Linked DNA regions of Tribolium castaneum. The protein of the gene in region 2 purifies or fractionates together with the protein of the main gene of each other region. This does not show direct contact. Links are inferred from orthologs where the notes say so. Each region holds a gene or a part of one and is shown on either strand. Other genes may lie near its edges.

The links. Proteins that work in one complex are often made in the same cells at the same time.
Region 1: the proteins of cact (region 2) and RpS3 purify together in Homo sapiens (affinity purification with western blotting; 4 studies listed by BioGRID and IntAct, with this or other methods). This does not show direct contact. The link is inferred for Tribolium castaneum from reciprocal best matches to the Homo sapiens genes NFKBIA and RPS3.

Annotation. Positions count from the first base shown.
Region 1 is NC_087402.1:7,604,497-7,611,053, reverse strand, and holds RpS3 (ribosomal protein S3), read right to left. Parts: upstream 3,850-6,557; 5' UTR 3,808-3,849; exon of another isoform or gene 3,734-3,807; intron 3,158-3,733; exon of another isoform or gene 3,105-3,157; 5' UTR 3,055-3,104; coding exon 3,025-3,054; intron 2,837-3,024; coding exon 2,470-2,836; intron 2,415-2,469; coding exon 2,257-2,414; intron 2,204-2,256; coding exon 2,033-2,203; 3' UTR 1,990-2,032; downstream 1-1,989. Other genes in the region: Kr-h2 (Krueppel homolog 2), read left to right, coding at 1-111, 317-498, 572-639, 692-825, 875-1,106; cathepsin O, read left to right, coding at 3,966-4,145, 4,192-4,694, 4,744-5,050. UniProt on the Homo sapiens protein: Component of the small ribosomal subunit. The ribosome is a large ribonucleoprotein complex responsible for the synthesis of proteins in the cell. Has endonuclease activity and plays a role in repair of damaged DNA.
Region 2 is NC_087395.1:1,373,123-1,379,521, forward strand, and holds part of cact (cactus), read right to left. Parts: intron 4,400-6,399; coding exon 4,044-4,399; intron 1-4,043. UniProt on the Homo sapiens protein: Inhibits the activity of dimeric NF-kappa-B/REL complexes by trapping REL (RELA/p65 and NFKB1/p50) dimers in the cytoplasm by masking their nuclear localization signals.

The DNA.
Region 1 (6,557 bases), on a different chromosome or scaffold from region 2:
CGTGGAGGCCCTCAAGCAGCACGTGCTCACCCACAAAATCGACTGTGGGTTGTGGGCCATTCGGGTGCTGACCATCCTCTTCACTTGCGGCTACTTTTTGCCAATTTTCGGGTAAGTAGCCTTGTACTCATGCTAATTACAGGTAGCCGGTTGATAACCGGTTGTTCTTGGGTTGTGTTTTTAATTGTGGTGTTTAGGTAAAAACGCCAAAAGTGGACGTTGTATGGTTGAGGATCCTAAGAGTGAAAAGTAGCCCATCACATATGCACTTTCTTTTTCAACTTTCACTCAGTGAGAAATTTTTGTTGTGTTGCAGGAGTGCTCAAAATGCCTATTACAAGGCGCTCATTGCGAACGCTGCCATTAACGCCCTCAGGCTGCACCAGAGGTTGGGGAGGGTTAGGCTGAGTCGGGAGTTTGTGGCACAGTTGTTGATGGAGGATAGCTGCCACTATCTCTTCTATTCCATGATTTTTATCTATGTGGCACCCTTGACCTGTATCCTTCTCTAATTAATGTGAATTGATTCAATTAGAGCAGCACTGAATTCATTTCCTTAACTAGAATACAGTGGTTTTGTTGCCAGTGGTTCTGTTCGCTATTCTACATTCAGCCAGTTACTCACTAACTCTACTTGATGTAATAGTCAGTAACAGCACTAGTAACGTTTTAGTAATTTTTTGTTTTTCAGACTTTGGGCCAAAACTCGTGGTGGGGCGCCCGCCTCTTGATATCTTTGGTCGAATTCCAGTCACTAAATATCTTGAGACTGATCGCATTCACTGAGATTATTATGATGCCACTCACTGTACTTTTTGTCGCTATGTAAATAATCTAAATGGGGTAATATTTTTTATAAAAATTGTTTTTGCAGGGGACGGGCTAGTCTACTGACGCCTTTTATCTATTATCATTTTTTGACTCAAAGGTACACATCAAGGCGTAACCCTTACAATAGAAACATGTTCCATGAACTCAGAATCTTGTTCGAAAAGACCGCAGCAAAGCCCAATCTACCTTCCTTTGTGAAGTCAATCTTGCTAGGGATTATCAATTTCACTGTTAAGTTAGCACCTCCCCAGGTGCAAGCCCAGCATCAGCAGTGAGCTAGTTGTTCCATGTATCCTTATTATATCAAATGTTCGTGATATGGGTAATTTTAACGCCTAGTATTGTTTATTTGCACTTGTTTGGTACATGTTCATGCAATTTTTTGCACGAATTTGAGGTATGGTTGCAAAATTTCGTCCGTTACTTTTTATATACTTTTAACCCAGGAATGATTTTTTATTAATTTTTAGTATGGATGGTGTAAAGTAGTTTTGTTATATCGTTATAAATGCATTGTGCTCATGGAGGTTTCTGTTGTAAAACTCATTCGAATTAAATTTTCTCCATGTCATGTTGTTATGTTAATAAGCAAAAGTTTGTAATTTCACAATAAAAAAATATTTAAAAAAGGGCGTTTTATTGAAATACTCTTCATTATTCCCATTATTCTTCATTATTCCCATTTTTTATTTTTGTTATTGTTATTACGAACTATGATCCAGTTCAGAGATAAACATTTAGTAAACAGGCCGAAAATTAAAAATTGCTTTAAGCTCTCTTATTTTGCGAAATTCCTTTAAAAACGGACAGAATCACGATGTCTTTTAAATGCTTACTTTAGCACATTTTTAAACCATATTTTGTTCAAAAAGAAACGGAAATTATCTACGCTGCTTTTGCCTTTTTCACTCAACAATTAGTTGCTTCGCCAAAATTTTTGTTTACGTGTCATTTTGTAAAATCTTACTTAGTTGGAAATTACGTAGCTCCAAAGTTTAGCTAATTTTCTGAAATGTCGATAAAACACGTCGCAGTTAATGACTCACTGCTTTAGAGGAATTTCTTTTTTTAGAAGGGAGAAAACATTCCCAATGGCAAAATTAGGAATAAGGTTGAAACAGGAAGGGCATTTTTCTTGGTATTAAAATAAAACGAAAGTTATCTTTCCAGAATTTTATTGAAAATTAATCTTATGATAACTTTAAGCTACTACTGGAATAGCTGGTGGTGCGTCAGGTTTGACTGCTTTGATTTCACTGCTGGGGTAGGCAGGCAAAATCTCCTCTTTAGGTTCCACAACAGAGACATTGTCAGGCAGAGGCTTTTTGGGGCCTGTTTTGCCGCTGGGGTCCCACGGCAACATAATCTTGACCTAATACAACAAAATAGCATCATACAAACACCAATAATTTTACAAAAACTTACTTTAATTCCCAGCACACCCTGTCTTAGCAAGACGTGGCGGGTGGCTGTGTCCACATAATCATTGCATGGGTCCCCAGAGTGGATCATGAGACCGTCAACAAACTTCATCGATTTGGCTCTCTGGCCACGCAGTTTTCCAGAAACTACAACTTCACACCCTGCAAAATAACCACTAAATTAATTCAAAATACGTTTTGAGCCAAATGTCCAAACCTTTAGCGCCACATTCCATGATGTACCTCAAAACACCATAGCAAGCCCTGCGCACGGCCAAACCTCCGATCAATTTGAATCTAAGAGACTCTGCTTGTGCAATGGCACACAGACCCCTGTTGGCCACCTTCTCGCCATACAAAACGACTGAGTTTTCGGGGAAATTGAAACGTTTCTGTACGACTGAAGTCAATTCACGAATACGACGGTTCTTCTCCCCCAAAACACGGTCAGTACGTGTGGCCATGATGATGATTTCCGTGCGAGTTGGGGTGACTCGGACCTCAACCCCGGAGTACCCATCTTCTGATAATTCACGAGTCAAGAACTCGTTCAATTCGGCTTTGAAAACGCCATCGCCAACAAACTACAAATAAGCGCAACATCAAGTCGGTGAACTGGGGACCACATGTGGGAAAATGTTGGGTTATGGTTTGGGGAACAAGTAAACATGAATGTTAGCCCAAACATGTGTGCTTATTTTACAAGATTTTGGGCTCTAATGAAGAGTTAAACATGTTTAAGTGGATGGAAAGGCCAATTTCTGGTATTTACCTTGCGTTTTTTCGAAATTGGAGTCGCCATTTTGACGTTCTAAATGGAAAAGGTTTGACGTGTGGCGAGCGGAAGTCGACCTAATTGGGAAGGGATGTGATAGAGGACGCTTACAAGGCGGCTTATTTGAATAATTTTTGGAGAGAAAACTTTCTTGCATATCGGGTAAATAACGTAATGAAAAGACTGTTCTTTTTTCAGTTTTTTTACCTTCAAAAAATTATTTTTTTTTTATCTGAGTAGCTCCAACCAAACCAACAACTTTTATGAACTTTTATGTGTTCAGAACTCTTTTTAATCATCTATCGTTTAAAAAAAGGTCATTGTCCTGCTACTGGTAGTTTCCAAAAATATTATTATTGCTAACAAATGCAAAAATAGCCAAAATCTATTTCGGTTTATAACTTGAAAAACTATTACGAATTTACGACGCCAATCAATTCTCCAGACAATTTTGCATACGAATAATTGAAAATATCTCAATTTTGTCGTATATTTTCGCCGTAATTGAGAAAATAAACGCAATGTAATTCTACACAAGTTGCGCCAAATGTAAAATATTATCTTGGGGAAAGATCTTGGACCGAATAATTTATGCAACTGTTGCGTAAAACAATGTAAGACCATAGGCAAAAATAAATTAAAAACAAAAATAAATAAATAAATTCTCTAGTTTTTTTGGTAATTTTGTTAATTTCTGTCATCTATTTTTTATGTTTGTGGTTTGACAACATACGTTGAGGTTATGTCGTGACATTTTATACAATGTGGATCAAAAAATACCTGCTTAAACCTCATTCACCCTCATTATAAATTTCTGTTCCACTCAGTCACTTAACTGGGCCAGGATTGTGTTTCAAGATAATCAAATTAATAAACATGGCGATAGCGACAAATAGTTCAATATTATCATTGTTACCAAAATATCTGTTTTGATAAGAATGGCTTCGTGGAGCACTTACTTGCAAGCGATTTTCTACATTGCTCTGTTATTTTTCGTTATCCCTATAAGAATAAAAGGCCCAGACCAAGCCGAATCACAATTTCAAGAGTACTTGAAAAGGTTCAACAAGACATACGATGACCCTTCTGTGTATCAAAACCGTCTTCATGCATTTAAGGTAAAACTTATAATTTGTGTCCTTGTTGTATAACGTCGCTTTTCAGCAATCACTACAAACAATCGAGACTTTGAATTCCAAAAAAAGGAATGGTTCAGCACTGTACGGTTTAACGAAATTCTCGGACTTGTTACCAGAGGAATTTTTCCAAACCTATTTACAATCAAACCTGAGTCAGAAGACGCATTCAAATGAGCCAAAACGACACCACCATAAACGAGCAACAGTGCCTAATAAAGTAGATTGGAGAGAAAAAAACGCAGTGACTAGAATTTACAACCAAGGCAGTTGTGGGGCCTGCTGGGCCTACTCTGTTATTGAAACTGTGGAGTCCATGAACGCCATCAAAACCAACAAGTCTGAGGAGCTCAGTGTGCAAGAAATTATCGATTGCGCTGGTAACAACAAAGGGTGCAATGGGGGCGATATTTGCACTTTACTGTCTTGGATCAAAGCCACAAATTTCACGATTCAAAGACACGCCGATTATGGGGGTAAATGTGGCCGGGGCTCGGCTGGTGTCCATGTTAGAGACTTCATGTGTGAAGGGTTCGTTTAGTTATTTTTTAAGTTTATTCTTTCTTATGGAAACTTTCAGATTAGTGGGGTCTGAAGATGTTATGTTGAGGCTTTTGGCGGATAATGGACCCCTGGCTGTTGCGATTAATGCGCAAACTTGGCAGAATTACATTGGAGGTGTTATTGAGTATCACTGTGATGGGGATCCGTCAAAGTTAAATCATGCTGTCCAGATTGTTGGGTATGATTTGACTGCAAGTATTCCGCATTATATTGTCAGGAATACGTGGGGTGTGGACTTTGGGGACGGGGGATTTTTGTACATAGCTGTGGATAAAAATATGTGTGGGATCGCAAACGAGGTCTCAGCATTAAGAGTACTGTGATTTATTTAGATAGTGATGTTTAAGTGTATCCATTTTATGTAGAAAATGTATAGGTTTTATACACCAAGTGAGAATAAATGTTTTTTTATTATTGTATTTTTTCTTCCATAGTCCTTGAAAATAAATACTGGTCGCCACCAATGAGCTTGTAATAATTAACTCCTTTTTTTGTGAAAAAAACTCACACATCTTCAGTTTGTTGTTGCGTCAGACATTTTTTTTATAAATAAGCTTCATGGTCCTTCCCTTTATAAAAGCAGGTACGTATTTCATAACGGATTCCAGTTCCAGTGGTTTAAAGTCGTCTAAATAATACAGAGCCATTTCTCTTTTGTTACCTAATTTTTTGTTGCTATACCTAATTTTATACTGGTACATTTTTATAGCAAATTTTGCTGCAGCTTAAATAAGAAATCCGATATTGCGTCAAGATTTTCGAGAAAGAAATAAAAAAAATGTTTTTAACCAGGGACATGTGCACTATACTTACATAAAAAAGCCTCTCTGTGTTCAAGATTTTTGTTAAGAGTGGCCATTGCATTAAATTTTAGAAGTAACATAAATATAAAGGTGTTATTTTAGGCTTTTTAAAGTTTTGTTCTTTTAATTGCTCTGTGGGTAATGGGTAGTTATTATTTTTCTAAATATAAATTTAACGGAAACATTTTGTTTGATTTAATCCTGTCCCTGTAATTGAGTTAATCTACATCATAATTATCCATTTCAAAAATAAATTTAACTTTTGTGGTGGTTTGCTAGGCAAAATTTCCTTACACACGGAAAATAATACAGTGAGTTTGAAAACTCAAAACCCAGAAATGTTGACTTTTCGCCAAATTATCGATGTGTTGAAAAAAATCTGGCCGACGCGGCTCTATTTTGAATTTTAACAGCTCACAGTGTTGATAGGGAAGGGGATCTGGGCTGGTGAAAATAATTTCCTCAAAAAATAGTTTATAAATATTTTATTTATCCCGTTTGAATAACACAGTGTCTTGCAAGTATTTATTTTTGCTCCTTTAATAATAATGCTACGTAATGATCAACCTCGAAACACTTACCTGCGATTTTTCCGCATGATTAGCGTTATATTATTATTAAATCAGTAACATTTGCATTGACTAATGGTTACATTATACCTACTAACGACTTCGTATTGCGTTTCGCCAAAAAAACTTTGGATTGTAATTTTTTACGTTAGAATGTCATTTAAAGGTAAAACTAGAAGATGTTTATCAGGTTAAACAAGTCGTTGATGGAATTCTTGTAGGAAGTATTTATACTGACATTTTTTGGAGTGTGGCTTACTGCCTTATTATTATTATTATTATTATTGACAACAGAACAACCTCACCTGAGGCGAAATGTATAAAACCCTTTTTTATTGCACAGAGACGTACAATTAAACGTGGTAAAAGCTGAGAGCGATCATTTAACTTGTAATTCCATTATTCTGATACGAAGTGCTTACCTTAGTCTTTTTGTAGTAGGTACTTGCTCACTTAGT
Region 2 (6,399 bases):
TACAAAAAAGATGTAAGGAACAAAGTTTTAGAGAATTAAATTTCCCATAATAAAGTCCGCGACACCATATTTCTATCTTCAACGGTTTAGGTATAAATTGACTTTCCGTTACTTGACCACCGGTTAAATGACACAAATCCGTGGCTTGAGCGTCTTTAGGGCCTAAACCTTTGACGATAGAGATCTGATCTCGCGGACTTATTTAAAGGAAATTTGATTCTCTACAACTTTCTTTTGAACAATTTTCTTGTATCTTCAACTGTATTCGCAGCGTTTTGAAAAATATGGGACAAGGACCAAATTTTAAATGTTTCATAATTTTTTTCGCATATTTCTTACAAAAATTTTAGTCGGCACTTTTTCTCAGTCTGTTAAGAGTGCCAAGCTTAACATTTATGCATTTTTTCCAAATAATAAATGAATTGGTTGGATTTAAATTAATTTAAAACGATTTGGCGCTGAGATTCGAAGCGCCCTCATTTAGTACTCTGCAGTACTATTTTTTTGGGTTCAGAAAATCCTGCGATTTTGTATCTCGTTTCGTCTCCTAAGTTATAGTGCTCCGTAATTTATACTTAAATAGTAAATAAAAATTATCCTACTTCGAGTCAAATATTCACAAAGCGTCTCAAAATTTTGGGAATTTCCCGCCTGTAAACAATGCGTCGTTCTATTTTTACTTGACGAAAAATCGGAGCGCGTGATTTCGTGGGCGTTTTTGCACTCGGTGTGGTTTATTTTGAGGGGGTCACACAAATCGAATGATGCATGCGTACGTGACTGACGGTAAATAGTAAAGTCATTTTCGGCAATTAATGTTTAGAGGGTCAACAATTACGCTAATGTCTTATTGAGTGATAGACGGCTTAGAGGTCATCACTCTTTTGTTTTTTTTATTGTTTTATTTATCATTTTTGCTCAATTGTTGACGTGATTCGTTCTAATTTTATACACATATTTTGTACTTTAATGATGTGTGATGAAATGTACTACGAAGTTAAGTAATCAGCGAAATTTCGCAAATAATGATTCTTGTAAAAGAAATCGCAATGAAAGACCAAAACAATTTTTTGTGTTAGTGACAAATCTCGTATTAATCACGGGAAATTTTACGGACAAATGGCTACAGATCCAGGTAAAATTTTACTGTTTTCGAAAAAAAAACCGGGCATTTTTCGATATAGGAAAAAATTGGTATCAGGGCTCAAACCTTTATGTATTTGCAACGTAAAACATTTAGTCTGAATTACATTAATTAAAACAACTCGTCTTTTTTTGAAAAAAAAAAATTTGGTGAAACAGTGATTCTTTTACCTTACTCTAGTTTTAAAACAGATTTTTGTGAATTATAAAAATCTAAAAGATGTGTACAATAAATAAATGTTTACAAATCCAGAAAATTTCGATGTTATGAAAAAAAAAAAAAAGAAAAAATCGTAACACAAATTAAATTTTATTTATGTGACTTTAAATCTGTTGTTTAAATGATTGACAGATGAAGAAAAAAAAGTTGCCGATATCAGGGATCGAACCCCAAGTTTTTAGAATTTGTGACAAAAAAACATTTAATTTGAGTTTTCAAAACACAAAACTCTGGTTTTACAACCATCTTAACGATAGATATGTAAAAGTCTCTAGAAATCCAAGTAACATTGTGCTTATTTTCAAAAAAAGAAGGTAAAACAGAGGTTTGTTACTTATCTTAGTCTACATTCAAAATAACTGTTTTAAAAAGTTGGCGGTGTCAGGGATTGAACTCCAACTTTTCAAATTAGTGACAATAAAACAGCTAGTTAAAATTTACAAAATCAAAGAAAATTTGTCAATACTTGAGTTATTTTCAAAAAACCAATTAGTGTTTTTTTGAGACTATTTTTCTGACTTGTATGAGAATTTTAAACATAAAATAAGAACGGTGTGTTTGATTGGATTTTCGAATAAATTATTATTCAGAAAGAGTAATTAAACAAAATGAGTGCTTTTGGCTCACCAAGGCGAAGCCGAGGCATAATATTTAATATCAATTTGAGTTTTTTTTTCTGTTGACAAAAGCGACAGAAATCCAGTTAAAATTATTATTCTAGTTTTAAATTTGTTGTTTTAAGATATAAGACGAAAAAAAGATTCCATTTGCAACGATATAAAAGTTTTCAAAATAATTTTTTTTTTGCAAGAATCCAAATATCTCCATATCTAGATAAAATCGACTTATTATCAAAAAAAAAAATGGCAAAACCGTCTGATTTCAAATTTATTATATGCCAATTTTAATTGTTGTTTTAACGCTTAATATAAAGGAAAAAAAAGGTGGAGGTATCAGGGATCAAACCCCAACTTTTTGAATTTGTGACGACGAAGCATTTAAACAGTTTTGAAAATTAAAAAACAATGATTTTGCAATAAATTAAGTGTCTGAAGATCCAGGAAAAATTCAACTGTTTTCGCAAAAAAAAATACGAAACAAACTCTCTATTTACTTTTATCTTATTCTGGTTTTAAAAGTGTTGTTAAGTGGGCTGGGGGGGAATGAAGGAAAAAAATAAGGTTGCCTGAATCAGAAATCACACCCCATTTCTTGTTTAATTTACAACGAAAATAACACTTACAAGTTTTCAAAATTAAAAAAAAAAACAGGTAAAACAAACAGATTTTTGACGGTATCAGTAATCAAATCACAACTTTTTCAATTTGTGATGATATAAATATTTAGTTTGAGTTGTCAATAAAATTAAAAAAAGCTGTTATGAAATTGATAAAAAAAATTGGTAAACTGGTCTTATTTTTTATTATTTTACTCTACTTTTAACACGCTTGATTTTAGATGAAAAAAAAAAATGGCGGTATCAGGGATCGAACCCCAACTTTTTAATTTGCAATATTAAACGTAACCATTTATTTGAATTTAATAATAATAATAATGAAGTGCAATGTACAGTCACCATCAAAAAGAATGACACCCCTACCAACCGGGTCGGATACCAAAAAATTTAAACAAAAAAGTTAGTTATTTTGTAAACTATCCAAATGTACATATTATCCGTATCATATCGAAAAGATATGTGACGGCGGTTTTCTTTTTGATCGTGACTGTACTATACGTATTTCAGTTATTTTAAAGCAGTTTTAAACAGCTGGACGTTTGTAATATTGACACATTTGTAATTTGCTTTGGCAATTAGCCTATGATGAGTAACTTAATGCCATTTTTGAGTCACACAACAATGCAACTGCAAATTTGTACAATCAGTAACCACAACAGATTTTTGACGGTATCAGTAATCGAATCACAACTTTTTCAATTTGCGATAATATAAATATTTAGTTTGAGTTGTCAATAAAATTAAAAAAAAACTGTTATGAAATTGATAAAAAAATTTGGTAAACTGGTCTTATTTTTTATTATTTTTACTCTACTTTTAAGACGCTTGATTTCAGATAAAAAAAAAATGGCGGTATCAGGGATCGAACCCAACTTTTTAATTTGCAATATTAAACGTAACCATTTATTTGAATTTAAAATAATAATAATAATAAAGTACAATGTACAGTCACCATCAAAAAGTATGACACCCCTAGCAACCGGGTCGGATACCAAAAGTGCGATTAAAATCATAATTTCAACAAACAGGTTAGTTATTTTGTAAACTATCCAAATGTACACATTATCCGTATCATATCAAAAAAGATTTTTTTATCGTGACTGTACTATACATACGTATTTCAATTATTTTAAAGCAGTTTTAAACAGCTGGACGTTTGTAATCTTGACACATTTGTAATTTGTTTTGGCAATTAGCCTATGATGAGTAACTTAATGCCATTTTTGAATCACACAACAATGCAACTGCAAATTTGTACAATCAGTAACCACAACCCCAGCAAATCAAGGTTAAACAAATTAATTCTCTCAACTCTAACTGTCATAATTCGTCGAGTTCCGTTATGTGATTACAAGAATTATTTTTCCTGTGAGCAATAACAGCATTGTTGCTTTACATCATAGGAAAACCCACAAGCCAAAACAAGAGATTAACACAACTCACCTTCGTAGTTCCATTGGTCGAGATTGATCTCCTGATAGGGCTGTTTGGGGTAAGTTAAACCAAGTGATATCCTTTCTTGTTCTTGTACTGGATCGGTGATGGCTCTGCATGTTCGTAAATCACCATTTCGTGCTGCTATATGTAAGGGTGAATCACCTCGGATGTTTCTGGGACAGGGTTTAGCACCTGCCACCACCAACCACCGAACTATTAGCCAGTTCTGTTTGGCAGCGGCGAGGTGGATTGGTGTTTGGGCGTTATCATTGGGGGTGTCAAGGAACAAAGGGTGGGGAGCTTTCCTGATTAAAGCAAGGACTACCTCGACGAATCCTTCGGCAATCGCCAAGTGGAGGAACCTGAAAGAAAGAAAGGTCAAATTCAGACGTTGGAAATTCCGAGTTGAGTGCTTAGTTCCGATCTCCCCACTACTACGAAGAGTACGATAACGTACCAGGACAGTGTTGCCAGCGCTAACGATTTATCACAAAGTTCAGTGATTGTTTTATGACTCGAAATTCGAAAATACATAGTCAAAATTAAACCGAAAAAGTGGCAATAACTCAATTATTGCACTTAGTCACTGAACAATACAATTTTTTTTAAATTAACCAAAATGTCTCGAAATTAGGTAAAAAATTTTATTAAACAAAGCACGAAATTACTCTTACTATTTGCTATTTTCGAATAATACTAGCAACTATTTCTCAAAACTGCGTACAAAATCACATCAAACCTAGTTTAGAACATTCACTGATTTCTGCTTGATCAGAATGTTTCATGAATTAAATCAGTCACTAAATTATTTAGACAGGAAACTAAACAACCAAATTACATCGAAAATGACATTCTACTTGCATTTTTTTCAGCTTTTTAAAATAAATCAACGAGCAATTTAAAAATGTCATTATTCATTTCCCAAAAACGTAATTATTTTCCAAAATTTGGTCAAAAATTAACAACAAACTTATCAAATTATTTTCGCCTTTTCTCGGTGTTTACACATTTTTCAGTCAGATTATATTTGAACTTTTTCAGCTCAATCTTCTTTGAAATCATTATTTTTTCATGAAATTGCACAAAAATAGTACTTTTTGCAAATATTTTATTAAACTTTCCGTTACGAAAATTTATAAAGTCAAAAATATCGTTCCTGTTGCCTTTTTAACGCAATTATTTCGCAAAATTTCTAAATTAAAGTTAAAACGGTGTTAGCTATGAGTTATATTGGTTATAAGCCAATATTTCCCCAGATACGAAAAATCACTGGATGAGTGTTTTATTAACTTTTTCAGTCAGAAATGTGACTATAAAAAAATTGCCAAAATAAACCAAAAGTCACTAAATATGTTAAAAAGTGTACTTCTTAGGACTGGAAACTAATTTGATAAAAAAAATCCAAAAACAACCAAATTAGATCGAAAATGGTGTCCTACATGCTTTTTTTAACTTTTTGCAATAAATCGACAAGCAATTTAAAAATGGTAATAATTTTACAAGATTTAGTTAAAAACTAACAACAAACTTGTCAAACGATTTCTAAAATTACATTATTTTCGCATTTTCTTTACAAATTTTTCAATCAGAATTTTGATTATTTGAACTTTTTCTGCACAATCTTATTTGAAATAATTATTTTTTTCATGAAATTGCACAAAAATAATCAAATTAAAACGAAAATGGTATACTTTGTGCAAATTTTTTATTAAACTTTCAACACAAAATAAAATATTCTAAAGTCAAAAATATCGTTCCTGTTGCCTTTTTAACGCAATTATTTCGCAAAACTTCTAAATTTAAGTTAAAACAGTGTTAGCTATGAGTTATATTGGCTATAAGCCAATATTTCGCCAGATACGAAAAATCACTGAATTAAGTCGAAAATAATTTAATGTGAAATTCAATTATTTGGTAAATTTTCGTCAAAAATAAGTTGAAAAGTAGACGAGAAGTTTAATAAATGTCGAAAATGTCATTATTTTTAAGGAAAAATTAATTATTCTCAGAAATAAAAAATTATATAATTCCAAACATCACCAAATTGGGTCGAAAATGAATGCAGTCAAAAATAAATTACAAAAATCGTAATTAATGATTATTTTCGACTTTTTCTGTCTTCAAGCAAACATTTTAATCGGAATTTTGATTTTCACAAAATTTCGTCAAAAAATGTATTATTTATGTCTCTTTCAAGCCTTTCAGAACATTTTTTAGCAAAAAATTCAGTTGAGAAATTTCGCCTAAAAAAAGCTCTACATTAATTTTGTGTTTTCGTCAAAAACTATTTATAAAAACTGTTTCAAAAATAAAGCAAATGTCACTAAATTTGGTCAACAATGAGACTATTCTTTAGACATAA